7 linked regions of the Danio rerio genome follow. The protein of the gene in region 2 binds, or shares a complex with, the protein of the main gene of each other region. Links are inferred from orthologs where the notes say so. Each region holds a gene or a part of one and is shown on either strand. Other genes may lie near its edges. The genes, in order: sf3b2, snrpd1, sart1, lsm8, lsm7, cwc22 and ppil2.

Region 1 (3,696 bases), on a different chromosome or scaffold from region 2:
AACTAGTTACAATTATTAAATTACAGTAGAATAAAAATATACAAATGAAACAAACTGCTTTAAGCATCTTCACTGTAATTAAATTGATTTGTTTACTTATTTAAAATTAGCTAAAATGACAAATGTCTGGGACAATTTGTTTTGTGTTCAATCTACCTAAATTTGAACTTAAAAGTTAACACCAATAACTTTTTGGAAATCTTGCCCACTATAATAACTTTTTGGACACATGGTGCACTGTAACGCCTTTTTTGATATGTGGCCCACTATAATCACTTTTTGGACATGTGGCCCACTATAATCACTTTTTGGACATGTGGCCCACTATAATAACTTTTTGCACATGTGGTCCACTATAATAACTTTTTGCACATGTGGTCCACTATAATAACTTTTTGGACATGTGACCCACTATAATAACTTTTTGCACATGTGATCCACTATAATTACTTTTTGGACATGTGGCCCACTATAATAACTTTTTGGACATGTGGCCCACTATAATAACTTTTTGGATATGTGGCCCACTATAATCACTTTTTGCACATGTGGTCCACTATAATAACTTTTTGGACATGTGACCCACTATAATAACTTTTTGCACATGTGGTCCACTATAATTACTTTTTGGACATGTGGCCCACTATAATTACTTTTTGGACATGTGGCCCACTATAATAACTTTTTGGACATGTGACCCACTATAATAACTTTTTGCACATGTGGTCCACTATAATTACTTTTTGGACATGTGGCCCACTATAATTACTTTTTGGACATGTGGCCCACTATAATAACTTTTTGGACATGTGGCCCACTATAATTACTTTTTGGAACTGTGGCCCACTATAATCACTTTTTGGAACTGTGGCCCACTATAATCACTTTTTGCACATGTGGTCCACTATAATAACTTTTTGGACATGTGACCCACTATAATCAAGTTTTGCACATGTGGCCCACTATATTAACATTTTGGACATGTGGCCCACTATATTAACATTTTGGACATGTGGCCCACTATATTAACATTTTGGACTTGTGGTCCACTATAATAACTTTTTGCACATGTGGCCCACTATATTAACATTTTGGACATGTGGCCCACTATATTAACATTTTGGACATGTGGCCCACTATATTAACATTTTGGACATGTGGCCCACTATATTAACATTTTGGACTTTTGGTCCACTATAATAACTTTTTGGACATGTGGTCCACTATAATAACTTTTTGGACATGTTGCCCACTATAATAACTTTTTGGACATGTGGCCCACTATAAAAAGCTTTTTGGACACATGGTGCACTGTAATCACTTTTTTGATATGTGGCCCACTATAATGACTTTTTGAACAAATGACCCACTATAATCACTTTTTGGATATGTGGCCCTCTATATCTTTATAGACATATGGCCCGCTTCAATAAAGTTTTGCACATGTGGTCCACTATAACCTTTTGGACACGTGGCCCACTATAATATCTTTTTGGACACGTGGCCCACTATATTAAGTTGTTGGACCATGGCCCACTATAATATCTTTTTGGACACGTGGCCCACTATAATATCCTTTTGGACACGTGGCCCACTATATTAAGTTTTGCACATGTGGCCTGCTATAATAAATAACTTTATGGACACGTGACCCACTATAATGAAGTTTTGCACATGTGGCCCACTATATTAACATTTTGGACATGTGGCCCACTATATTAACATTTTAGACATGTGGCCCACTATAATAACATTTTAGACATGTGGCCCACTATATTAACATTTTGGATAAGTGGCCCACTATATTAACATTTTAGACATGTGGCCCACTATATTAACATTTTGGATAAGTGGCCCACTATATTAACATTTTAGACATGTGGCCCACTATATTAACATTTTGGAAATGTGGCCCACTATATTAACATTTTGGACAAGTGGCCCACTATATTAACATTTTGGAAATGTGGCCCACTATATTAACATTTTGGACAAGTGGCCCACTATATTAACATTTTGGAAATGTGGCCCACTATATTAACATTTTGGACAAGTGGCCCACTATATTAACATTTTGGAAATGTGGCCCACTATATTAACATTTTAGACATGTGGCCCACTATATTAACATTTTGGATAAGTGGCCCACTATATTAACATTTTAGACATGTGGCCCACTATATTAACATTTTAGACATGTGGCCCACTATATTAACATTTTAGACATGTGGCCCACTATATTAACATTTTGGATAAGTGGCCCACTATATTAACATTTTAGACATGTGGCCCACTATATTAACATTTTGGATAAGTGGCCCACTATATTAACATTTTAGACATGTGGCCCACTATATTAACATTTTAGACATGTGGCTCACTATATTAACATTTTGGAAATGTGGCCCACTATATTAACATTTTGGATAAGTGGCCCACTATATTAACATTTTGGAAATGTGGCCCACTATATTAACATTTTAGACATGTGGCCCACTATATTAACATTTTGGATAAGTGGCCCACTATATTAACATTTTGGACATGTGGCCCACTATATTAACATTTTAGAAATGTGGCCCACTATATTAACATTTTAGACATGTGGCCCACTATATTAACATTTTAGACATGTGGCCCACTATATTAACATTTTGGATAAGTGGCCCACTATATTAACATTTTAGACATGTGGCCCACTATATTAACATTTTGGATAAGTGGCCCACTATATTAACATTTTGGACATGTGGCCCACTATATTAACATTTTAGACATGTGGCCCACTATATTATCATTTTAGACATGTGGCCCACTATATTAAGTTGTTGGACATGTGTCTCGCTATATTAACATTTTGGACATGTCATGCCTCTACCCCTTTTTAATATCTCTACTTTAGTTACTTTACACGCCCCTTGCTGCTGATTACGAGTGTGACTCGTTCTGCACTGTGGTCAAAAGTGTTTCTCAAATATTGCTCAGTGCACCCTTTATTAATAAATAACCCTTATTATTAAATGACAAAATAACACTGGATATTAATATCTCACTTTTCAACGTGTGGGTTTGGAGTTGCATTTAGATCTTCGATCCACTGCGTGATTCATGCTCCTCCATCACAGCACGACATCCAACCAGATTCACCTGCGCTGATGTTTAAAACTGGGAAATGTTGTTGCGAGTCATATTGTGATGGATATGGGCATTGAACAGGTTTTTGTTTCTCACAGCTGACAGATGATGTGAAAAAGGAGAAGGAAAAGGAGCCGGAGAAGCCTGAAAAGCCTGAAATCCTGTCCTTTAAGAAGAAGGGGTTCGAGCTGGAGAAGAGGGACAGCGACGACAGTGATGAGGTCAGTGGAAGGACATGTAGATGTCTTATGGTCTAATAATAATCCTGTCTAACTCCTCCACTTCCTGTTTGACAGGAAATCAAGAAGGACTTACCCAAGCTGTCTAAAAAGAAGCTCAGGAGGATGAACAGGTTGACTGTGGCTGAACTCAAACAGGTAATTTAACTACTTTAAAGGGCACCTACTATGCAAAAATCACTTTTATAAGGGGTTTAAAGGCAGTTGTTCAGCTACAGTGTGTGATTATGATCAGCTTTTAAAGGTAAGTTACAATCCTGGTCTCGGACATCAAGGACATAACTTACGAATTAAAATTAAAAATCCTTAATCAAAAAGAGGT
Region 2 (4,211 bases):
GGGTCCATTGCGTGTTTAACAATTTTAAAAGGAATAGTCAACTTCTTTTTTTAAAGAAACAGTCTCATTTTACAACTCCTTAGAGAGTTAAACAGGCGAGTTTTCCCATTTATGAATCCGTTTAGCTGATTTCTGGGTCTGGTGAGAGCACTTTTAGCTTAGCATAAATCATTGAATCAGATTAGACCATTAGCATCTCACTTGATTCTTCTGTAGTTACATTGTGTATTACAACTAGCAAGAAATGAAAAGTTGCTATGATCTATATCAGGGGTTCCCAAACTTTTTAACTCGTGACCCCCAAAATAACAATTTTAGTAACTCACAACCCCACTATCCTCTGAGGTGGTTATAAGTAGGGCCAGATGGAATCTGCGGGCGTTTTTTGCTATTTCTGCGGAGAGTTTTGGTAAAGATCTGCGGAATTATTTTGGGAGTATCATAACTAAAACCTTAATATATGACATAAAAAAAAATATCTTTATATAATTTTTATTTAATGTTTAAAATGCTAATCCAATTAGATTCACATTATTTGGTAAACAAAGCAAGTCTCTCATATAATATCTCTACTAAAAGACAGAAAATATTACGGTACAAACTGCATTGTACATAAGTCAGACGAACATTTTCATATTAGTCAATAATATTACTGAAATAAATGTAAAAACTGAATTAATATAGATTTACACACATTTACTCAAGTAAATAAACAGAATTAATGATGGGCTAAACATCAGCGGAATTCAGCTCGCGCAAAATAAGTGTGGGCCTAGTAATAAGCATACAAACACTGTACACAATAATGCACACACACAAACCAATAGCAACTATATAAACAAGCTTATTGACAACACAACAAAAGTGCAGCAGTTTATCAACCATATCATTTTATAGTCACTATTCATTTGTTTAATTTAATATTAACCTCACTTAATGAGAATTGTGAAATATATACAGCACAAGTCTATTCTTGATTTAATTTCGGAGACCGCCACTTGGAGATCGTCCTCTATGTTCAGTCGTGGCCTTTATTTTTAATGTACAGGAGTGCTGTAAATGTGTCAAAGTTTAACATTGAGCCGTAAAATAAATCTGCTGCAACTAACACTATTGCTGTGTTATTAATCTAGCGTAATCACTCAAGGAGTCGTAATCCAATGGAAAAATAATGTAAACGCTGCTGTCTGTTTATGTACATGTTTTTGTTTTAAATGTAACTATTAAACACTATCTTCTGCAGGTTATGGATAAAATATGGTAATTTTAATAATTTATTTATATGTATATATTGGAAATCACCAAGCAACCCCCCCTCAAGGACTCACGACCTCCCAGGAGGTCCCGACTCCCACTTTGGGAATCACTGGTCTAAAAATTGAAAATCTCCACAAGTAAAGATGTAAATTTTCACACAATACCATGATCTATTGTTTTTCTGCTCACATGATTATTATAATACGAGTCTGACTCAGTGGCATTAATTCATCAACAAAGTATAACAAGTTTTCTAATTATTATTATTAGCACAATATAGGGCATATACAATGAGTCTTTTTAATTCAAGTTTATTTGTATAGCGCTTTTTACAATGACTAGTGTTTCAAAGCAGCTTTATAAAAGGTGCACAGTATTGCATAACAATCCAATTAAGTCAAGTCATTTTCAGCTAAAAGGTTAAATGCATTTTTTCCGGGAGCTGACAGATGTAATTGAGGTAAAGTTGTTTTTATATTCACACATTCAGACTTAATATAATTTCAGAAAAGTATTATTTGCAAATACTAAATAGGGGAATCATATTATCACCAAATGACTATAAAGCACAATATTGTTTACGGTCTAATATTGTTTTGAAGTCATTCTTATATGTGATTTCAGATCAAATATTCAAAGCAGCGTGGTAAAAAATAATGAATCTGTATTCACCTTTTTAAATACTGCTTTGCTATTTCATAGAACGCCAAAGTCTAAACCTGCTAATATAAAACCAACTTCACCTCAATATAAGCACATTTATTGGCCACCTATGAGATGTAATGCATCAGATTCAAAGAGAAAATGCATAATATGACCTCATTTAATGAAACAGGCACATAGCAGACAGTTTATAAATGTGATTATGGTGCATTACTTAAAATAATAATTACCTGTAATTGTGCCATGGACCTGTGTGCCATTCTTCAGCTCAATCGTGACGGTTTCATGGCTCAATTTCATCAAAAACCTGCAGGTCACAATCATAAAAACAATGATAAACAATTATAATAACATAACGTCTAATATCTACATATAAAGCATTTTGTCAATATGATTATATAAAGTATTTACAGCTTACTAATGATAATAAACTGATAACTATATTTAAAACAAATGATAAACTATATATCCAATAATCTTTAGACTTCCTAACTACACACTATAGTGTCTATTAACATAATTATATGATTATATACAGCTAGCATATTTAGAAACTAGTAAATAAATGTAGCTAACTTAGCATTAACAGTTATTGTTTCTGTTTATGTATTTGTTGCATTTAAGACCCCGCATGATCAAACTACCACCAAAAAACGCACAATGTATTAATAATCTAAGACTAAACCCGCTTATTACATAGTTTAAAACACGTATGTGCTTAAAACAAATGAGTAAAACGTTCAAACAAACGCTCGCCCATTCATTCATTCCCGCCTGATGAAGCTAACGGCTAACTAGCAGCTACACACAATCCGGCTCCATCTATTAAAATACATCGCGCATCCGCAAAGTTTCTTTGTGTATTTTACTTGTATGACAGCTGTAGATGTTTATTACCTGACGAGTTTCATGATGGCGGTGGACTTTGAGAGAAAATCCTCCACCTAGATGAGAAAAAATTGTAGCGCAAAACGAATGTAGGACGCTACTGGAGAGATGGTACAATCACTTCCTGGGTGAAAGGGAAACAGAATTCTGAGGACAGAAGGGTTGCCATTACTCAACAAAATCACCGGAATATTTTTACACGCTGGTAATTTCATTTATAAGCATGTTATAAACATACAAAAGCGAATTTAAAATTTTAAATGTTGCTACAACAATTTTTATTATGATAATAGCTTAAAAGTATTTTTCAATTTCGATATCTCATGGTACATAGGTTAATAAAAATACACTTTTAATTAACCAAAACAACAATAATTTAATCTCACAGTAAATAGTTTCCTTAAAGCATTCTTTTAAAAAACCAAAACAGCAATATTAATCATATTTAAGGCTTCAATTGCGTTTTAAGATAATAAAAGTATAATACAGATTTAAATTTTGACACTTTTTTTTCATAAATGTTTAAATCTTTTCCATATCACAGCGCAGCTACAAAATATGATTTATTTTAGACTATGAATAAAAATATACTATAATAAAATATTAACTTTATTCTGTTTTTTTCTTTGTAATTATATTTTCTTAATTCAAAAAAATAGCATTCAACATCCACCGGAATAGATTTAGTTTTAACGTATCTGGCAACCCCACAGTGACGATACAGTAAATAGGTTAATAAAAACACACTTTTATTAAACCAAAACAGCAATAATACCCATATTTAAGGCTTTACTTGTGTTTTAAGATAATAAAAGTATAATACAGCTTTAAATTTAGACAATTTTTCATGTAGTGTCATTTTCATATCAAAGTGAAGCTCCAAAATACTGTTTATTGTAGATAATGAATAAATAAGATACTATAATATAATGAAAGCTTTATTCTGTCTTTACTCTATTTATATTTTCCCAGTTTAAAAAAAAAGCTGCATTTAACAACCACAGGAATAGATTTATTTTTAACGTATCTGGCAACCCTACAGTGACAATATCTCACGGTAAAGGTAAATAGGTTAATATAAACATACTTTTAATTAACCAAAACAGCAATAATAATCAAATTTAAAGTTTTAGATGCGTTTTAAGATAATAAAAGTATAATACAACTTTAAATTTAAACAATTTTTACGTATTTTTTATACTACAGTGAATCTCTAAAATACTATTTATTTTAGATAATGAATAAATAATATACTATAATATAATATAAAGTTTCTTCTGTCTTTGTAATTATATTTTCTCTATTAAAAATAACATTCATGCACAGTTGTGGATTCAATTTTAAAATATCTGGCAACCCCGTGGCGATATCTCAAGTAAAGGTAAATAAATTAATAAAAACAT
Region 3 (4,222 bases), on a different chromosome or scaffold from region 2:
CATTTTAAAATACAAATGTATTATCATGCATCATTTAAAAAAACTAAAACAATTAGGAATCTGTTTAAAACTTGTTTTAAATCAGAAACAGTAGACTATAGGCAAAAAAAAACAACTATTCCAGCTCATATCATTTATTTATTCATTCATTTTCTTTTCAGCTTAGTCTCTATATTAATCAAAGGTCGCCATATAGTGCAATAAACCGCCAACTTATCTAGCATATGTTTTACACAGCGGATGCCCTTCCAGCTGCAACCTAGTACTGGGAAACACCCATACACTCTTGCACACACTCACATACACTATGGTCAATTTAACTTATTCAGTTCACTTGTACCGCATGTCTTTGGACTGTGGGGGAAACCAGAGCACCTGGAGGAAACCCACGTGAACAAGGGGAGAACATGCAAACTCCACACAGAAACGCCAACTGACCCAGCCAGGTCTCGAACCAGCAACCTTCTTGCTGTGAGGCAATTGTGCTACGCACTGCGCCACCGTGCTGCCCGCCAGCTCATATCCTCAGTCGGAATTTGTCCATTTGAATAATTCAAAATTCAGTTTGTCTTAAAGTCTTCTTCTATTGGTTATTTTCACAATTTATGATGGAAACCTGGGACAAATGAGCTCCTATAGCAGCCAAATTCTGGACTTTGTCAGTAGGGACGTGCATGGGTCTTTTGAATCATCCAAACCCCCCCTGGCTATAGGCCTGCTTTTAAAACCAAATATTTGTAATAAAAATAAAAATGATAATATTTATAAATTGCTCATTTATTGTTAGATGCATGAACCTGTGACATTTCTAAAATCTGATTGTTCAAAATAATCAACTAAAGCCTGATTTGTAGGTCTAAATCTCACGCTGCTAGTAGTCTTGCAGAAATTAATCATTACTAAAAAAAAATGAACAAACATGGCTATTAAACCACAGTAATCACCAATCAACCAGGGTTTCGCCACATTAGCTTATGGTGATTGCAGTTAAACTGTATTCAACCAATATGTTCAAAAACATGGTTACTTATACAACCTAATAGTTTCATAGGAGAAATTCATAAACTACAAAACTACATTTTCTTCTTCTGTAACTCAGAGAGAGCATTCATTATTTTATTAAATTAAAATATTTACGAACACAAGTCAAAACCTCCATACCATTAGGTGGTGCTGCAAATCCATTATGCCATTTAACCCGGACGTTATCAGAACAGCACCGCGTTCATCATACGATCGTGTTGTTGCAGTAGAGCAAGTCGCTTTGGCTTAACGTTAGTGTTTACATTTTGCTGCTCAACTACATACGAAATAATGAAATAATATAAGTTGTACCCGATACTATGATGTAATCGTACAGTCAATATTCTGTAAACGTTAACCTGTTCGTCGAGTTATTATAAACAGAAGTGCTTTAACGTTAGACAAACAGCATTTAATCCGCAAACAGACCCAACATGGGATCATCAAAGAAACACAAGGAAAAGGAGAAGGACCGGGATCCCGAGGAGCGGCACCGTGAGCACAAGAAGCACAAACACAAGGACCGAGATAAGGAGAAGGACAGGGACCGAGAGAAGAGAAAGAGGTCTCGCTCCAGGGATAGAAGCAGTCGGGGAGCGGAGAAAGACCGAAGTGGCAAATCCGAGAAGAGCAGCGCGGAGCCCAGAGTCAAGAAGGAGAAGCTTGATCCTGCTTTCGAGGACAACAGCGGTCAGTCTTCCTAATTCAGTATAGCTGTTTTTATATTCGCACATTCGTTTATTTGTGACACAGTGCCTATATTGTACTTTAAATATTCGCTCTTAAATGGCATGCGAGCATGACTTCAAACATTAGCACTATTTAAATGACTGTGAACAATGTTGTACTTTGATAGTCATTGACTACTAATGTAATTTCCCTATTTAGAATTTGTAAAGAATGCTTTTCTGAAATTGTTATGAAGGAGAAAGTCCTGGTCTTCCTGTCCAGCCAGTGCCAAACTACCTGTAAAACGGTGCTGATTTAATGTAAGCAAAATAAACATTAAAATGACACAATTTTTGTTTCTCCAGCATACTATCTTATATAACACTTTACTGAAGACTATAGTTATTGTCAGTGTTGGCTAAAGTTACTTGGAAAAGTAATATGCTGTATTACATTCATAGGCCATTTTTAAAGTAACATAAAAGAGATGGTTCATGCAAATATGAAGAGTTTGCTCTAGAGGTAAAGTTGGTTTTATATTCGTATATTTAGACTTTCTCCTTAATAATATAATTTCAGAAAAGTATTCTTTGCAAATTCTAAATAGGGAAATCATATTAGCAGCAAATGACCATCAAAGTACAATATTGTTCACAGTGAATTAGATAGTGTTAATGTTGTTTAGAAGTCATACTTGCATGCTAATTCCGATCGAATATTCAAAGTAACATAGTAAACAATATAGGGACTTCCAAACGAACGAATGTGCGGATATAAAACCAACTTTACCTCTATGAGTTTGCTCACCCTCAAGTAGATACAGTACAAACCTTTATGAGTTTCTTTCTTCAATTAAACACAAACAATATATTTTGAAGAAAGCTATAAACTAACAGTTGAGTTCATAGTAAGAAAAATATGAATAAACTATAAAAATTCACTTTTTACAAAAGAGTTTCTTTATGTTTTGTTAAACACAACTTGAGATATTTTGGAAAAAAGTTGGAAACCAGCAGTTATTTACTTCCATAGCATTTGTTTTTCCAGCTTCATTCATTTTCTTTTCGGCTTAGTCCCTTTATTAATCCAGGGTCGCCACAGCGAAATGAACCACCAACTTATCCAGCACATTTTTACACAGCGGATGCTCTTCCAGCCGCAACCCATCTCTGGAAAACATCCACACACTTATTCACACACATATACTATGGACAATTTAGCCTACCCAAGTAACCTGTACTGCATGTCTTTGGACTATGGGGTAAACTGGAGCACCCGGAGGAAACCCACGCGAGCGCAGGGAGAACATGCAAACTTCACACAGAAATGCCAACTGACCCAGCCGAGGCTTGAACCAGCGACCTTCTTGCATTTAGGCGACAGCACTACCTACTGTGCCACTGCCTCACCTGTTTTTCCTACTATGGTGGTTACTTTTAATGGTTTCAAACGTTCTTTAAAATATCTGCTTTTGAGTTCCAACAGAAATAAAAGAAACTCCTAAAGGTTTGGAATGACTTGAGTATATTATAATATTTAGGTGAACTATCCCTTTAATTCTTTGATAGATGTGTTTGCATTGAGTGATACTGATGTCAGCGTTTTGTCTTGCAGAGCCAGGTCCTAAATCTGCAAGTGGTGATGCTTCACTCAGCATTGAAGAGACCAAGTATGTATTAGTTGGGTATTTTTATAATGAAAGTTCCAATGCAATACTTGTACATGTATATGCAAATGTACGTTGCTGAATGCCATTACTCATTGCTTTGCAGTAAGCTGAGAGCCAAACTTGGTTTGAAACCCCTCGATCTCAATGAAAACAAGAAAGGTAAGAATAAACATTAACATTCAGTCAAATGTTTTTTTGTATACACTGATGTTTATTTTCTATTTTGATAGTAATAATTGATTGTTTCATTGATTTTATTAAATTGACAAATAGTGACAGTTTGAATAAATATTTAAGCCTTTCATTGATCTATGATTTGATAGGGTGATGGGACAATATTTGGCTATTATACGAGGGTTCCAAAAATAAACTGACCTGACAGATATACTGACACACTGACCTTAAAGTTTTCCAAATTAACGATCCGTATTACTTATCAAAAATTATGTTTTATAGATTTACAGTAGGAAACTTTAGCATGAGCTTTACTTAATGCTCAAAATATTTTTGATAAAAAAGAAAAATCTCTAATTTTTACAAAAATCTATTGCAAAAAATATACATATGCAACATTTATACTTTTAACACCATTCTAGCATCTATATTCATGGCAAGAACCTGTTTTAATTCTATCTTATACACAAGTCGGGGAGGAACAGTTTAGAATCTCAACTTCATCAAATCTGAGTAACAGACTAAACCCATCCTGACAAAGGGAGAAAATACAAACTCCACACAGAAAGGAAATATTTTATTTTACTTTATTTAAAGCCTTAATTCTAAATTTCTGATTGTTCCATGTTTTTTTCCTTTTTCTCAGAGGCAGGAACTAAGGAGGAGCCCCTCCTTGCTGAGACCATT
Region 4 (4,378 bases), on a different chromosome or scaffold from region 2:
GTGTAGATGGTATAATTACGTTAAAATCTCATTTATTACACCATCACCATTCAAAATATGATTTACGCTTCTGTAAAAACGTTTCACTTGGTTAAACTTACAAACTCAAGTTCAGCAGCTGCCTTGAAAATGTGAGTCAACTCAACTTGGAGAGATTCTTAAGATGTTGAGTTTTACAATATATTTAACTAAAACTCAACATCTTACATTGAAACAAAGAATCTCTCTAAGTTGTTGCCTCACATTTTCAAGGCAGCTGCTGAACTTGAGTTTGTAAGTTTAACCAATGTGAAACGTTTTACAGTGTGGGCAATTATTGAGGGCCCCCAAATTTCTTGGGGTCCTAAGCGGTTGCTTGCTTCATCTTTCAGATGAGAAGTTAAACCCAGGTCTTGATTCTCTGTGGTCAATAAAAATCCCATGGCACTTCTCGTAAAGAGTAGGGGTGTAACCCTAGTGTCCTGGCCATATTCCCTCCATTGGCCCTTACCCATCATGGCCTGGCCTCCCAATCATCCCCATCCACCGAATTGGCTCTATCACTGTCTCTCCACCAATACCTGGTGTGTGGTGTCCGCACTGGCACTGTGGTCCTGTGGCTGCCGTCGCATCATCAAGTGATGCTGCACACTGGTGGTGGTGTGGAGAGACCCCCCTCATGATTGTGAACCGCTTTTGGTGTAAGATCTATAATATAAATACACATTACATTACATCATTGGTTAGGTCAGTCCCTGATTCTGATGTAATAGCAACGTAATTCCAGAACCACCATACAATTCCATCAAATTTATTAAACATTCAGTACCTTACGAATATTAACAAGTTTTAATTATTTTTTCCATGCTAGTGTGTAGCAAAACACCGTATAACAACTATTTTTAACCACTACAGCACTTTTATATAGTTCAATCAGCATTAATTCCCATAATGGCGATGTACAATTACAATTAGCGTCTGAAATCATCCCACAACCATTGATTGTACTTTTGTGTAAGTGCCGTCGTCATCATTACCACCAGTGTTTCCATCGACCCCCACTTTGACCCTCAAACAGTTAGCCTTTTCAGCAAGAACTGATTATAATCTCTAAAGTTACTCGTTAGAAACAGTATTGTGCTCTCTTCCTTAGAAACCAGAAATCTCCAGAGCGCGTCATCTGCTGGACAAATACCGCATCACTCCCTCACGACGGCTAAACTTCACATTAATTTGTTTAAACTATAAAATTAACTTCATTAGCACTGTCCATTTGTGGTCTATTTTTAACAGTTTTGATTGATGTAAACGTGTGTAATTGTAAGAAATCTATTTAATTATTTATACGCTTATTTTTATGTACGTGTGTTTGTTTTGCTTCTTAATTAATGTTTAATTATTTGTACTCTTACTATATTTATCTTCTATCATCCCTGGCATTAAAATGTGTGTTCTATTGTCGCGTACTAGTTATTTAAAGCTTATTAAATAAATACTAATTCACTCATGACAGCTTTCGTTGCTCCAACTCCATTAGTTCTGCCTGAAGTTGTGCTCAATCGGTCATCGCCTACTCGAGTCTCTCCGTTATCGCTTCCGGCTCAAGAACGAATGCTTTTCGTTGTAGGAGCTAGCGAACGAGCACCGGAGGATTTAAAAACACGCACCAGCAGAAAAGATGTCCACCGCTCTCGAGAGTTACATTCACCGTATCCTTTAATACGCATCGTGAACAGCACGGCGGTGATGTTGTTGATCGATACCCCGTGTTTTGTTGTTGATTGTGTGTGTTTGAGCGTGAAATGTCTAACTTTATATATATGGCGCGCCAGCAAGTGAATTAGCTTTTGATGATCATACGTCGTTATAATTCACGTTATAGCATATTAATGTACGCACATACATTTCTTGAGCAAAATAGATCAGTTCAAGATGATTATCGGTTATCTGGATGTGATATTAACTTCATAGATGCCTGTTTTTTGTCAAATATTTGAGTTTTTTTTTCTGGACCAATGAAAACGAGTCTTCAAATATTTAATTAAGACATATCATATAACTGGAATATTACTATTTACTGTAAATATTACATATTAATGTGTTCACATCTTGCATATCGGGTAGAAATAAGTATATTTGACTGTTTGTATTCATGTTAATCTATATAGATATAATTTATGTATGTAAAACAATCTAGAAAAGTAAAAAAAAAAATTTACATTTTGGATATAAGTATATTTGACCGTTTGCATTCATGTTAATCTATAAATACATATAATCTAATTTATAAATGCAAAACAATCTACAAAGGTTTTAATTTCTGAAATATTTCGTAAAAATAAGTATATTTGATTATTTTTATTTATGTTAATCTATTTATAGATGTAATCCATATATGTAAAACAATGTAGAAAAGTTTTTATTTCTTAAATTTTGCATAAAATTAAGTATATTTGACCATTTGCATTTATGTTAGTCTACATATAGATGCAATCCAACAATCTAAAAAAAGTTTTCATTTGTTCAATTTTAGTTAAAAGTAATTATATATGACCCTTTGTATTTATGTTAATCTATATATAAATATAATCTATGTAAAACAACCTAGAAACGTTTTAATTTCTTAAAATTGCGGTAAAAATAAGTTTATTTGACTGTTTGAATTTGTTAATCTATAGATAAAATACATATATGTAAAACAATCTAGAAAACTTTTCTTAATTTTTGGTTAAAAGTAAGCATATTTGACTGTTTTTATTCATGTTAATCTATAAATAAATATAATTTAGAAATGTAAAACAATCTAGAAACATTTTCATTTCTTAAATATTTCGTAAAAAATAAGTATATTTGATTGTTCGTATTCATGTTAATCTGTATATAAATATAATCTATATATGTAAAACAATCTAGAAAAGTTTTAATTTCTTGACCATGACCATTTGTATTCATGTAGATAGATAGATAGATAGATAGATAGATAGATAGATAGATAGATAGATAGATAGATAGATAGATAGATAGATAGATAGATAGATAGAGAATATGAATCAGTCAATGAATAAAATACTTAATAGAGATTTTGAACACACATTATGTGTACTATATAAACACAAATCCAGAGAACAAATAAACGCAGTGAGTGACCATGCATACATAAAATGAGCTTGAAATTTCCTTGACTGTGATTTTTTTCAAGGGACTGTTGCTATTGTCACTTCGGATGGCAGAATGATCGTGGTGAGTCTTCCTCGTGTACTTTAAAGGGAGTTATCCACCTTTGTGTTTAATAAAGTGCAAGTCAAAGACACTTTGGGAGTGTTTGACTGTATTAGGAAAATCTAAACATTATCACTTGTAACTCACAGCTCCGACACATATTTTTCATTTGTATTTTTGTTTTGTTTAAATGTCTTTTATGTTTAACTGAGGAGAAAAGTCCCCTAGATTGTGAATAGCCTGAGTGTGAATAAATTAATATTAAAATCTGTGTTTTTTGGTGAACTTACCAATTAATCATTGTCTGTGTGCAGAAATGAAGAAGATCGCTTACTGACTTGTGCTGTTTTTAGGGGACGCTAAAAGGCTTTGATCAGGCAATCAACCTCATCCTGGATGAAAGCCACGAGCGGGTCTTCAGCTCTTCACAGGGGGTCGAGCAGGTGGTTCTGGGACTGTATATTGTCAGAGGAGATAATGTGTGAGTATTAAACTCCTTTCTTGTAATTATGTTTATGTTGTGCAGAACAGTGCAAGGTTTATGATTTTTTTCTTTTATTTGGTTGACATAAATGGGAAATTATTTTGTGTTTAAGGGCTGTGATCGGTGAGATTGATGAAGAAACCGATTCTGCGCTGGATCTTGGAAACATAAGAGCAGAACCACTCAATTCTGTGGTGCATTGATGGACAGAAAATTTCATTTTGATCCAGTTGAAAACTTTCCCTAGGAAATCTGCAGGCATCTATAAGCAGCAATATTACCTGCTTTTTTAATCTTGAAAAAGACTGAATGCATATTTGTTTTTTGTTTGTTTTGTTTTTTACGGGTGTTGAAATAATAAAACAAAAAGTGATAAATCAAGATTTTAAATTTTTTAAAAACTTGTATAAAGGGGAAAATATTGGTAAGTATCCATTTTCTGGATAATTCTCAGTCAAAAACAAAAAAAGTAATAAATTAACAGTAAAAGTAAGATTAGGTCCATCTCCAAAATGCCTATTTTATCACCCAAAAGTCAAAAGAAATTTCCGTATTACATGAAGAAATTGAAAAGCATTTAAAGCCCATTTTGTTTTATTGCATTCATGACGATTTAGCTTATTTCCCACAAAGAAAAGCTCATTGCAGTATCGTAAAAATGACGAAAAAAGACATTAATATAAGTGTATATTATTA
Region 5 (4,370 bases), on a different chromosome or scaffold from region 2:
CAACATTTATAATCGTTGCATCCCTGCTCTCGATGTGCTTTTAGCTTTGATTTTTGTGCAAAATAACAAAAAATTAACATTACAAAAAACATGTTAGTGTCCATTTTAACCATACAAGAGTAAAATTCTTAAACCGTTTATTGCTATTATTATTTTTAATATTAAGAAATGCTTAAATGACATTATTTGATTTGAAATTTAGAAGAAAAAAAGAAATGTTTTCAAACATGTACAGACAAATACAAATATAGAGTTTTCAAGGGGTCTCTTTATTTTTTCCCATAGATAGATAGATAGTTAGATAGATATTTATAAAATTTTATATAAGTTTCATTTCAAAAAGTTTATATTTTTGAAATAAACACCAAACAGTATTAATATTTGACTCAGTGAAGAACCAATAAGAAATTTTTGTCCTGAGGTTGACTAAATCATCAGTAATTATTGACTTTAGCCTGTCTATCACTTTAACAACTGCAACATCTGAACATTATTATGAATTATAACCTCTTACCGTGGGTTTTCTTTGTCCTGTTCGCAAATGCACTGTTCAAGTAAGTCTATAAATTTTTGTGGGAATGATGTGAAGTCTATTAAAAGCCCTTGTTGTACTTTTAAGCTGTGAAGAAGAGCAAATAAAAACGATTACACAGAATATAATCACATAGAAGCCTAATAGCAAAGTGTTGAAAATAAATATGGCTCATTGATGAAATGACACTTTTAATACCACAATACCTTTGAAAATCCTCCTCTGATATGATAAGGTTGTATAAAAAGTAAAGATCAGTATCATCAGTCAGCCGTACAACTAAATCCTGTTGATCAAAAATTTAAAAAAAGTTATAAGACCACATAAAACATGCTTAAAGGCATAAATATGGTTGTACACATGTTAATAACAAACCTTTCTGTGAACAGGGCTGGATGGTAACTGCAGTTCAATGCTAACGCGAATAACCGAACGCCTGTAGTAACAAAAACAACATATATAAACACATATAGACCCTTACAGACTTCGAAATGTTAATAATTACAGACAAAATAAAGCCAAAATTCATACCATAAATCAATTTAAGTTAGGCATTGTGTTCAAAAACAAGACAATCAACACAAACCTCTCATCGGTATCTTTACTCTTCACCAGCACCTGCAACCGCTTGTTAAAAAGTAATTCCGTCATTCCTAATTCATTCACAAAGCAACGATAATAATTAAAAATCGTGTAATCCTGTTTTAAAGATGTTATTTAGGTTGTTGAAAGACTCATTTGTTTTTCGCGCTTCACTCCCGCGTTTGTCCGTTTCCAACCGGAAGTGAGAAACACTTCAACCTAATCACGCGTATCATCGTATTTCAACATGTTTTTGTTTTTATAAATCGTATAATATAGATATAAACATTTAAAGCTGTATATACTGTGTAGTTGTGCGTGAATAAAGCTGATAAAATTGAAAACATTTGATATCAGAGTTCACCTGCGCGCGTTGTGATTGGCCGAGAGGTAGACGTCAAACGTGAACCCGGAGTGGGCGGGGCGTAGAGGAGTTTTGAACATGGCGGTGAGTAGCGCAAACGTTTCCACACCGTTCACATTATAAACACTTTTAAGGACAAACGGCGTTATAAACAAACATATAAGCACCTGAATATATCCTACACTCTTGATATTTATGTTGTTACACATTAGGGTGTGCTGGTAATTGTAAATGTGATGTGTGGTGTATTTTTGTGCTAAGCTACGAGTCTGATATTTATTATAGAGGCCTGGAGATTGTTATATAATATGTTTTTGGATCCTCAGGACAAAGACAAGAAAAAGAAGGAGAGTATTTTTGATTTGTCGAAATACATCGACAAACATATACGTGTAAAGTTTCAAGGAGGTCGCGAAGGTGAGGGAGTTGCTTTATGAAATTAATTATGAATTTAAATGTTTCACATTATGATATTTAAATGAATTGTGGTAAATTTGACACTAGTGTTTCCTATTTTCAGCAAGTGGCGTCTTAAAAGGCTTCGACCCGTTGTTGAATCTTGTGTTGGACGGCACCATTGAATACATGCGAGGTAAAATGTGCTAATGTAAACCGAATATGTACCAAATTATGTTCTGCATTAAATTTCTCACAGTATTAATGTTAGTGTGGTTTGTTTTGAACAAATTTTAGTGTAAATGCTGCAATTTAAATTATAAAATTAATCAATTTATTAAATTATAAATTATATAAAGCAACATACAAACTCTTGTGGGTTGACTGATATATAAATGCATCTAAATCAACCCAAAGAGGACATGATGCCATGATATTAAACATAAAAAGGCAGAATGCTCCAGCATAGCTATTTTTGTCAGCATAACAATGTTGCTCCTTACCGTTCAGTTCAGGCATCAGAAACAGTCTCAGCAGATCTTCATTTGGGTGTGTGTGAGCCAGAGGAAATTCTGGTGTTGGTTTGACACATTTAATATGGTTTTCTGAGAGAGTTTAAATGCACTTGAAGTTAAATAGTTCACCCTAAAAAAATGAATACTGTCATTGTTAGGCATGGGCTGGTATAAGATTCTGACGGTTGATAACCTTAGGTTGAAATATCACAGTTACACAATATCATGTTATTGTACATACTGCTCCAAAATATTTTATTTTTAAATGTCTGAGTAAAAAAAAAACTTTTCCCCCATTGAACATGGTTTATATTTTTTAACATTTAAAATATTTTGAAACTATAATGTCAGGCTAAATAATTTATTGTTTATTAATTGTTGAATGTCATTGACTTCTGCTGTCTTAATTAGTTTCAAAAGCACAGATTTCTTTTCAACTTGAAAAGGCATCTTTGGATATCTTTCTTTTCTTTGGATATAAAAAAAATCATCTACACTGTTCAGCTCTACAGCATGCTGGATGTTGGTTTATAAGAGATTTGTTTTTCAGATGTTTCCTGAATCATGGTAACTTGTGATGTGGATGGTCCTTTTCTATTGTTGCCCAAAAAAACTCAATAAAATAGTCGTAAAAAAAAAACTTACAAATACCTTGAGAACGGTATAACAGACAATTTTAACGTTTTTAAAACCTTGACTTTTCAAACCGCGATAAACCTTAAAACAGTTATTGTCCCACGCCTAGTCATTGAATACTCACCCTTTATATGTTTCAAACCTTTTTGAGTTTCTTTCTTCTGTTAAACACAAAAGAAGATATTTTGAAAAATGCTGAAATCTAGTAGTGAAACGGTTAGTTTTCGGATAAACTATAACTAAAAAAAAAACAACAACAGGTAAATAGAAAAACACAGATTGAGAAAGCTGAGACACATATTCCTGAATGTGATAATATGCACCGAAATGTGTCGGGGGACCTGAAAATGTAATGAACCCGACCCTCTGCTTCCTGTTTAGAGGTGGTGGTGTTGTCAAAGAGCTGAGTGTTTTACTTTAACGTCCTAGTTGTATGATTCCCTGGTGTTTGGATAATTTTAGCTTTAAATGCTGACAACACCACTGTCTCTAAAAAGAAAGCTGCCCCAAAGGTCCCCCAAAACATTTCTATGTGCATATTTTGGAAGTTGCATTCACGTTACTAAACTAATGACGATTAATTCTCAGTTTGTAAGTGTTTTTCTATTTGCATGTTTACACTGCATTTGTCCTCTCTAGGGCACCGTATTTAACTGATTAAAAAATGTGTGCATGCACATACAGCAAACAAGTGTATCTAAACATACAGAATTGTTTTGAAAATTTAAAGTCACAGAATCCACCGCGGTGACTGAAGCTCTGCACATGACTTTTGGTCAGCGGAGAAATTAAAATGGTCGTGCCCAACTGAGTCTGGTTCTCTCAAGGTTTTTTTTCTTCACTCCTATCAGGTGAAGTTTTTTTCCCCTCTCCGCTGTCGCCACTGGCTCGCATGGTTCAGGATTGGTAGAGCTACGCATTGATGAATTTGCTCTTCAGTGTTTGAACTCTCAGTAATGATTTTAAATCACACTGAACTGAGCTAAACTGAACTGAACTGAACTTAAACACTAAAATCTGAACTACACTGTTCCGGTTACTATGACCATTAATGTGAAGCTGCTTTGACACAATCTACATTGTAAAAGCGCTATACAAATAAAGCTGAATAAGCTGAATTGAATGTCATAAATGCAGCTGCTTTTCTGTCAAAAATCAGAGTATGAAAGCTTGACAAACTAGGACTATGTATAATTTTTTTGTTTGGTCCAAACAAACTGACTAAACTACAAGTGTTAACACATCCGAAAATACGAAAAAACCCCGCCCTAAGAGTAAAGACATCTGTGTTTGACTATTATCATTATATCAATGGTTTTATATGATTTCTGACCACATTTATTTC
Region 6 (4,226 bases), on a different chromosome or scaffold from region 2:
TCAAGGGTACGTATTATTACCTTAAAAGTACAAAAGTGTTCCTCTTAATATTTTTAGGTACTAATATATACTCTTCAGGTACCAATATGGACCCTTTAAGTACAAATGTGTACCTTTTGAAAAGTTACCACCCCAATGACAGCTCGCGTACCTTTATTTCTGAGAGTGTGTTATGTCAAAAAAAAAAAAAAAAAAGAATTTTGCACTTAAATTCATCCAAAAAAAAAATGTTTTTGTTCTAGAAGTGTGTGCAAATTTGTGCATAATAAAAATGAGTTTTTTTTTTTAACCTTGGTTTTAAATTATAAAAGCAAACAAACCAATTATTAAATCATTTATCTTGTGAAAATTAAAATATTTTTATTTACATTTCATTAACAATAGTTTTATTTTATATTATTTCATTTTATTGCTGTATCCAATGCCCAAAATAATGGTTTGATATTTTCTGTTTTTGTTTCTATTTGTTAAGTATTAATATTTACTACTTATACTATTACTACAACTAATAATAATAATAATGATAATAATGGGGCGGCGCAGTGGCGCAGTAGGTAGTGCTGTCACGACACAGCAAGAAGGTCGCTAGGTTGTTGGTTCGATCCTCTGCTCAGTTGGCATTTCTGTGTGGAGTTTGCATGTTCTCCCTGCTTTTGGGTGCTCCGGTTTCCCCCACAGTCCAAAAACATGAGCTACAAACGTGTGTGTGTGTGTGTGTGTGTGTGTGTGTTTTTGTTTGCGTGTGTGTTTGCGTGTGTGTTTGCGTGTGTGTTTGCGTGTGTGTGTGTGTGTGTGTGTGTGTGTGTGTGTGTGTGTGTGTGTGTGTGTGTGTGTGTGAGAGTGTGGATGTTTCCCAGTGATGGGTTGCGGCTGGAAGGGCATCCACGACGTAAAAACTGAATAAGGATAAGTTGGCGGTTCATTCCTCTGTGGTGACCCCGAATTAATAAAGAGACTAAGCCGACAAGAAATGAATGAATAATAATAATGTTGAAAATTATTTAATTAATTTTATTGTACGGTTGTGAAAGTGCAAATCCTATATCAATGGTTAATTAAAACAATTCTGACATACAGTATAGCTGTGATTCCTGAAAATAATATTTGCATAAATATACAGTACACCTCTGATTCCTGGAAAAATATAGTAGTCTTTGTTTTTCCCATTAATCATTATATTTACATTTCTTACCTATGTTCTAAACAGAATCTTAAATTAGCTTCAAGCCATTAATGTAATGTAAAAATAATATCAAGGCATCTGTTTCCTGACGCATAGTTGTTTTTCCATCAGTGATGATAATCATCCAACATATGTTCAGTATTGCAGTTTGACTGCTAAAGAAAAACGCGTTTTTCCACACTTTTGGAACCTCGCGAGGCCCCGTAGCATCACTTCCGGAATACGGCGGGAAAGATGGCGGCTGAGTCAAACGAATCTCAGACGGCAATGAATATGGGGCCTACATCGAGAGATGAGGTAAGAACTTCGCTGTTAGTTCCAGATTATGAAGTCGATATGTTTGTTTGACCGCGCTGAGCAGTTTTAAAGCGGCTCGTGGATGTGTTCCGGTGGGATTTTACGGGTTGTGGGCCTGCACGCGTGGAGCAGATGGCGCTGCTTTGGTTTGTGTGAGATCATTTGTGTACATTATGAACATAAACACTCTGATTTAAACCCATGATAAACTATTATGTTTGTCATTTAGTCCACTGAGTGTCTGTAAAATTCAAGTTACATTTGAAAGACAAGTTACGATAGGGATTAGGCCGAAAACGATAACAATATAAACCAATTACCGTTCAACAAGTAACTTAATGTTAATCAAAATCTAGTTTAACGTTACATATTTATTGCGTAGGCCGACATTTCCATATTTTTATATCACGTTAGTGAAATCTATTTTAAAAGCAATGAGATAAAGAGAAATCTATAGACAACATCGTATCGTTTATGATAGGAAACATTTGTGCATATTGATTTAATACATACGTTAGTGAATTAAATATATTGAAAGTCCGTGTTAATAATATATGACCTTGGCTGAATTTTTCGTTTAAGATTAGCAAACGTAATGCCTAAACTCCAAATATTGGTACAAGTTTGTTATTAAACTGTTTCACTGCTTAGATTGTATTGTACGTTCATTAAATTGTTATAATTTTGCTGTGCCCTTTAAAACCTTATGCTAAGTTAGGAGAGTATGTTATGGTCTTTTTCCCCAAACATGGTTTTTATGTACCTGTGCTATTTTTGGGGCTTTAACTATTTTGAAAACAGTAACATTATGAAATACTATTGCAATTACAAAAACAGTTTTTGTACATAAATATATTTTTAACATGTACTGTTAATCTCTTTGAACATTTATTTATTTATTTGCGGCTGAACTATCATAGTATGACACATCGTTTGGGAAAAGAACGATGTAGTGATGAATGTTTACCAAAATCCGTAGTTTCTCTGTTGCAGATCCTTCATTTGAACCTTGTTAGGTATAATGTAAAACACCCATAAAGCCTGGTTTATACTTCTGCGTGAAGTGATCGTCGTGACCCACGGTGCATGCAACGCATGTAGCTGTGCATTTATACTTTTGCGCACTGTTTCTGTTGTTCTGCAATAACACTTCCGAAACGCTAGTTGGCACTCAGGTGTTAATGTTCCTTTGTGTCGAGGTTCTTCACTAGTGTTTTGTTTTTTCTGAACGCTTCCTAAATGTACAAGTGGCTCAAACTCACTCATTTTGAGGCAGGAACCGACGGACGTGCAACAACTTTAACCATGAGGTAAATACAAAACAAAACTTTCCATCCGGAGCTCCTTCACGAGTCTCTACACTTGTAAACAATAGCTCCGCTTGGTCCCATCCTGAATCTCCAGCGCTACCAAGCCGAGCAATCAGATCTTGTGCTACGCGTCACTGCGACATGTAATTACATTTTTTTGAGAGGTGCATGTCAGCGACGGCCATTGCGTAGGGCTATGCGTCAACGCGTAGGCTGCACCGTAGCATACGTGCGCTTGACACAGAAGTATAAATCAGCCTTTAATGATTCTCTAAACGGGGTTAACAACTTTCTTAGACACGAACAAGTAATTGTGGCCCTGTTCAGGCAGGTATTCAGGTTCATTTTTCATCAATCTGATGCAACTTTTATTATTTACAAGACCTAAAAATGCAATTAAAAGTTTCAAATCAGTTAAACTCAATTTATAAAAAGACTAGCCTATTTTATGCATTAAATAATGAAATGTATAACTAATTTGCTTTATTTCCGATTAGACCATGCACTTAAGTCTGTTTTACAGTTTTAATATGTGCATGCGCTTGTTTAAAATAGCATTCGTTTAACAAAAATTTTAGCACATCGAAAGTAATTAAATTACCTGTCTTTTGATTAAAACCTTTATGCAAAAGGATCAGAAATGCACCCAAAAAAGGCAATCATCCGACACTTGACATGCATAGCTCTCATGCCACATTTTCAGGATAAATTCGCATCTAAGTGCTGCTTTGAATATAATAAAATGATTTAAAAGCACATTAAAGACTTCACTCATAAAATAAAACATTCTGTGACATAATTTTGATGATTGTTTGACCCATTAGTTGCACAAAGTAATTGCTTTCACCAGCGTCAAACATTCACCAGCGTGTAGTTCCCTTAAACTGTGAAAAATACATATAAATACATTTAGATCATTTACTACAGTCATTACTATTGGAATGTAAAGAGACTTTCAATCAGCACAGCAAAAAATGTTTCTAAAGACAATCACCTACTGCACCTTTAAGAACAACGACAGCAGGAATAAGATGTTTTTCTTTAAGATGCAGCACATTGAAAAGCGTTTAGATGACACAATTTTAAAGACGTAACCATTCCTATTGTGGGTAGCTTTCTCTTTATTCCCAGTATCCCCGACACGGCTAGTGAAAGTCTTCAGGATCCTTAGAAACATTAAGGCTTGTGTATTATCTGTAGCTAAACTCTGCAGGACGGTGTGACCCTCCAGGAGCAGAATTGGACATCGCTGGTTTAAATCATGATCTGGCTGTTAGTTATTTGCTGTAATTTGCAATGATGCCACTCTTTTCATTGGCACTGAAAGAAACTCCAGTCCAGCTTTTTTAGGTTTATGTAGAAGTGCTGATATTGCTCTCGCTCCCCTTACTCATATATTATCCTTTTTTTGTTGTCGGCCATGCAGTGTGTTTCTG
Region 7 (4,181 bases), on a different chromosome or scaffold from region 2:
CATTTAAACAAAACAGAGTTATTAAACAGATATATTTATTAAAAAAATATTTTGGTCACCAAACATATTTAAAAATTGAAAAATAATACAATTAAATTCAAGCAAAATATTGTGAAAAATGTACAACTTACAAAATTTCAACTAAATTTTTCATTTTATTTTTTTGCTTCTCTTGATTTTTCCTCTTTTTTAAACTTATATTTAATATTTTTCTCTAACATATACATTTGACTGTACTCGGTTTTTTGACCGTCATCATAAGTTATTTAGATAAGCTCCAGATTTGGCTTCAGTACTGACTAATCTAATGTATATGCACAAATATAATATTATATAGCTTCCTATTAAAAATATGAATTTAATAGAGTGATTTGTGAGGGGTGTAGCCTATATGTTGAGCACTGTATAATCATTAAATTAATAAACAAAATTTGCTCCAAAGTTTTATTATTATTATTGTATGTCAAAAACATCTTTACAAGAAAACTGCATTTTTAATTTTGTACGTTTAAATATAACATATTTAACATCAAACCAAAACATTTGGGAATATGTGCATTCAATGAGTATTCAGGTGTTTCAGCAATTCCTCTAATTCACAAAAAGAACATGCAGATTGCATGTCTAAAACGTTTTTAACAACTTGTTTCACGGGATAGATGAAATGAATTAGTTTATATGTAGGCCGCGCGGTGGCGCAGTTGGTAGCTCTGTTGCATCACAGCAAAAGGGTCGCTGGTTCGAGTTGACGTTTGTGGCATTTGCATGTACTCCTCATGTTGGTGTGGGTTTCCTCCAGGTGCTCCGGTTTCCCCCACAGTCCAAAGACATAGCTATAGGTGAATTGAATAAACTAAATTGGCCGCAGTGTGAGTGTGTGTGAATGAGTGTGTATGGATGTTTGCCAGTACTGGGTTGCAGCTGAAAGGATACAACATACGTAAACATATGCTGGTTAAGTTAGCGGGTCATTCCGTTGTGGTGACCCCTGATTAATAAAGGGACTAAGTTAAGCCGAAAAGAAAATGAATGAATGAATGAATTCATAGGTTTCATGTTTTTTTTATTTTGTGATCAACAAACATCAAACACTTTAAATATCCCCCTCATTATTGAGTATTATTCAGACATCCCAAGTTGAGCATAGACATAATTTACAGTAATTAAAAAACGAATTTTATGAACAGTATCTCAGTCAAAACCGAAGAGGACCAAAAAACATTTTGTTGTTTTAGGTCGGTTGCATTTACCGGTCGCGCCTAGGACACACCGGAAGTAGAGTATTTAAACAGTCGTGCGTTTGTGTTGCTTGTTTATAAACTCCTGAATTTTAATTCTTTTATTTAGCACCACCGCTTAGGTCGCAAAAATGGGGAAAAGACAGCATCAAAAAGACAAGATGTGAGTTGCTGGAGTGAAATATGACACGTTTGCTAACGGTTGAATTTTATTATTTCACTGAAAACTGAGTACGCTTCTTTAACTGTTTGCGTTGTTTGTATTATTTAGGGTTTGTAATGTTTTAATTTTAATTTTGGGACAGTAAGTCGTTCTTCATTCAGCTGCAACGACGGCATTTTGATTAATGTTCATGTATTAGATTCAGCGACGTAACATGAATTATCTAAAGAATGCAAATATGTAAATGACGACGTTATACTCTTTATACAGCTTTCAAATGATTTATTCAATACTCTGTTTTTCAGGTACATTACATCTACAGAATACACCCAGTTTTATGGAGGGAAGAAAGCAGGTATTTGCGTTAACCTGATGTAACGTTACTTCAAGTCATGTCAAGCTTTTGGGACTGTAGGACGTACCATTTTTGTTTCTTTATCAAATTAAATATAACTTATAAGTTACATAGAAAACATTTGAAATGCAAGAAAAGTGTCTATTTGAATATAATTTCACATATTGGTGAAATAGAAATAGTGTTATATCATTTAGCGTAAATATATTTATGCATATAGTCAGTAACAATTATGTTTGGGAAAATTATTCAATAAAAAAATAATAAAACACAAAACAGTTGTCATTTTTCTAGTGGGTCTATATATATATATATATATATATATATATATATATATATATATATATATATATATATATATATATATATATATATAGCAGTGTGATATGGCTGTATATCTGGTGGGAGATGTGCGTTGGCATGAGGCCGAGTGCCTTAGTGCCCCCGCCAGTGCCGATATACAGCCATATCGCACTGCTACGAGTGTGATATTGCGTTTATACAACAGTTTAACGGCATAATTGTGTATATAAAAACAAAATCAAACATGGAGATTCTCAAAAACCCTTTTGTATGAGGAACTACTTTCTTCCACCTTGGATTCAAATCATAAGCTGATAGCTAAACAGCTGAGCAAGCATCTTTTAAACTTTAGATCTGTAGTGTCTGCTTTTTTGCTGGTTGTATGTGGGCGGAGTAATACACAAAAAAAAGAGGTAAAGAGGCTTTACTGGTGCTGAAATTACTTAAATATATCACGGCTATTAGCCAATCAGATTCAAGAACCAGACAACTGTTGTATAAATATATATATATTGCAATAACTTGTTTGAATTTAAATATATTATCTTTTTATTGTTAAAGGCACTAGGTATCCAAACTTTTATTTTAATGGATAAAAATATTTTGTTTAAATGCACCAAGATTATTGGCTGTATTTTCTAAGACGTGGATAAAAATATACATTTTCAAAAGGAGGTTATACTCATTTATGCTGAGCACTGTACAGGGTTCATACGGTCATGGAAAACCTAGAAAAATCATTGAATTTTGACTTGACATTTTCCAGGCCTGGAAAAAAAGGAAAACCCACAAAGTTTTGTAAAAGTCATGAGCTGCGTCCCAAATGGCACGCTATACATTAAGCACTATGTACTTATGCACTAACACAGAGGTTCTCAAAGTGGGGGTCGGGACCCCCCGAGGGGTCGCGGGACAATGAATGGGGGTTGCCTGTTGATTTTCAAAAATCAATTAATTTTTATTAAACCTTAAGACTAACTGTATTTTATCAATAACCTACTGATGAGAAAAAAATAGTTGTTTATAGTTACTATAAACTATATAGTTACTATAGTAGCTTATAGTTACTAGTTCTATTGGATTGCGTCTTCTTGAGTAATTACATTATACTAAAGACACAGCAATACTGTCAGATGCAGCAGATTTTGGAACACCAGGTTAAACTTTCTAACCCATTTACAGCACTGACATACATAAAAAAAACAAAGAATAGACTTGGGTCTATTGGTGTGTGTGCGTCATTGCATACAAGGTTTCTGTATTTATAACCACCACCTCAGAGAATATTGGGGGTCACGAGTCACTGGCATTCTCATTTTGGGGGTCGCGGGCTGAAAAGTTTGGGAACCCCTGCACTAACACACTCAACAGCATAGTATATGTATGTATTGTCGTCCCAAATGGAACACTAACTGTTATTTTGCTAAACGGAAATTCAAACCATTTCCCTGATGACGTTTGATGGTTGCCATATTAGTAAAATAAATGACCAAAGGACCAGATAATATATGCAAGGATAACCGCATTCACCTTCGGGAGGCGCTATAATCACTCTTGTAGGATAATTTTGCTTTCACAATTCAAAATAAATAAAGTAATCCAACATGTGCACCCTATACCAATGCTCCTTCCGCTATGTGAGCAAATCTGAGATTGTTGAGTGCGTGAAGTGTCCAACATTCCACACTTCATTGTAATAGTTGAACGAGTGCATCATCCTGGTATTAAAATGCACTTATTATTTATAGAGTTTTCAGTGTGAACACACTACTTGCACTATTTATACTACAAAATGGCGTAGAATAGTGCGTAAGTATGCGATTTGGGACGCACCTATGGAAAACAGATATCTGTATACTTATAGGTTAGAATATAGGTTAGTTGTCTTGACTTCTATTCTGTCCTTGGCCAATCACATTCTCACATTATTAGTGTGGTTGTAAGCATTATCTACATAAGTTTTACATAGAAATGAATATAAATTTGGCGTCACGGTGGTGCAGTGGGTAGCACAATTGCCTTACAGCAAGAAGGTTGCTGGTTCAAGCCTTTGCTGGGTCAGTTGGCATTTCTCTGGGAGTTTGCATGTTCTCCTGTGGGCGACCCCAGATTAATAAAGGGA

Evidence for each region.
Region 1: snrpd1 (region 2) and sf3b2 share a complex: the UniProt entries of both Homo sapiens proteins name them as parts of the minor spliceosome. The link is inferred for Danio rerio from reciprocal best matches to the Homo sapiens genes SNRPD1 and SF3B2.
Region 3: snrpd1 (region 2) and sart1 share a complex: the UniProt entries of both Homo sapiens proteins name them as parts of the U4/U6-U5 tri-snRNP complex. The link is inferred for Danio rerio from reciprocal best matches to the Homo sapiens genes SNRPD1 and SART1.
Region 4: snrpd1 (region 2) and lsm8 share a complex: the UniProt entries of both Homo sapiens proteins name them as parts of the U4/U6-U5 tri-snRNP complex. The link is inferred for Danio rerio from reciprocal best matches to the Homo sapiens genes SNRPD1 and LSM8.
Region 5: snrpd1 (region 2) and lsm7 share a complex: the UniProt entries of both Homo sapiens proteins name them as parts of the U4/U6-U5 tri-snRNP complex. The link is inferred for Danio rerio from reciprocal best matches to the Homo sapiens genes SNRPD1 and LSM7.
Region 6: snrpd1 (region 2) and cwc22 share a complex: the UniProt entries of both Homo sapiens proteins name them as parts of the minor spliceosome. The link is inferred for Danio rerio from reciprocal best matches to the Homo sapiens genes SNRPD1 and CWC22.
Region 7: snrpd1 (region 2) and ppil2 share a complex: the UniProt entries of both Homo sapiens proteins name them as parts of the minor spliceosome. The link is inferred for Danio rerio from reciprocal best matches to the Homo sapiens genes SNRPD1 and PPIL2.

What each region holds. Positions count from the first base shown.
Region 1 is NC_133182.1:6,520,107-6,523,802, forward strand, and holds part of sf3b2 (splicing factor 3B subunit 2), read left to right. Parts: intron 1-3,233; coding exon 3,234-3,356; intron 3,357-3,431; coding exon 3,432-3,512; intron 3,513-3,696. UniProt on the Homo sapiens protein: Component of the 17S U2 SnRNP complex of the spliceosome, a large ribonucleoprotein complex that removes introns from transcribed pre-mRNAs.
Region 2 is NC_133194.1:2,233,022-2,237,232, reverse strand, and holds the start of snrpd1 (small nuclear ribonucleoprotein Sm D1), read right to left. Parts: upstream 2,976-4,211; 5' UTR 2,832-2,975; coding exon 2,818-2,831; intron 2,228-2,817; coding exon 2,151-2,227; intron 1-2,150. UniProt on the Homo sapiens protein: Plays a role in pre-mRNA splicing as a core component of the spliceosomal U1, U2, U4 and U5 small nuclear ribonucleoproteins (snRNPs), the building blocks of the spliceosome.
Region 3 is NC_133196.1:30,343,904-30,348,125, forward strand, and holds the start of sart1 (U4/U6.U5 tri-snRNP-associated protein 1), read left to right. Parts: upstream 1-1,230; 5' UTR 1,231-1,457; coding exon of another isoform or gene 1,458-1,713; intron 1,714-3,306; coding exon of another isoform or gene 3,307-3,361; intron 3,362-3,464; coding exon of another isoform or gene 3,465-3,520; intron 3,521-4,181; coding exon of another isoform or gene 4,182-4,222. UniProt on the Homo sapiens protein: Plays a role in mRNA splicing as a component of the U4/U6-U5 tri-snRNP, one of the building blocks of the spliceosome. May also bind to DNA.
Region 4 is NC_133179.1:10,099,466-10,103,843, forward strand, and holds lsm8 (LSM8 homolog, U6 small nuclear RNA associated), read left to right. Parts: upstream 1-1,497; 5' UTR 1,498-1,657; coding exon 1,658-1,688; intron 1,689-3,178; coding exon 3,179-3,219; intron 3,220-3,551; coding exon 3,552-3,679; intron 3,680-3,794; coding exon 3,795-3,885; 3' UTR 3,886-4,060; downstream 4,061-4,378. UniProt on the Homo sapiens protein: Plays a role in pre-mRNA splicing as component of the U4/U6-U5 tri-snRNP complex that is involved in spliceosome assembly, and as component of the precatalytic spliceosome (spliceosome B complex).
Region 5 is NC_133197.1:10,400,865-10,405,234, forward strand, and holds the start of lsm7 (U6 snRNA-associated Sm-like protein LSm7), read left to right. Parts: upstream 1-1,541; 5' UTR 1,542-1,556; coding exon 1,557-1,562; intron 1,563-1,804; coding exon 1,805-1,895; intron 1,896-1,998; coding exon 1,999-2,070; intron 2,071-4,370. Other genes in the region: sass6 (spindle assembly abnormal protein 6 homolog), read right to left, coding at 515-619, 739-818, 908-968, 1,119-1,183. UniProt on the Homo sapiens protein: Plays a role in pre-mRNA splicing as component of the U4/U6-U5 tri-snRNP complex that is involved in spliceosome assembly, and as component of the precatalytic spliceosome (spliceosome B complex).
Region 6 is NC_133184.1:45,378,514-45,382,739, reverse strand, and holds the start of cwc22 (pre-mRNA-splicing factor CWC22 homolog), read left to right. Parts: upstream 1-1,386; 5' UTR 1,387-1,417; coding exon 1,418-1,480; exon of another isoform or gene 1,481-1,626; intron 1,627-4,226. UniProt on the Homo sapiens protein: Required for pre-mRNA splicing as component of the spliceosome. As a component of the minor spliceosome, involved in the splicing of U12-type introns in pre-mRNAs. Promotes exon-junction complex (EJC) assembly.
Region 7 is NC_133180.1:13,584,802-13,588,982, forward strand, and holds the start of ppil2 (RING-type E3 ubiquitin-protein ligase PPIL2), read left to right. Parts: upstream 1-1,261; 5' UTR 1,262-1,369; coding exon 1,370-1,401; intron 1,402-1,706; coding exon 1,707-1,756; intron 1,757-4,181. UniProt on the Homo sapiens protein: Has a ubiquitin-protein ligase activity acting as an E3 ubiquitin protein ligase or as an ubiquitin-ubiquitin ligase promoting elongation of ubiquitin chains on substrates.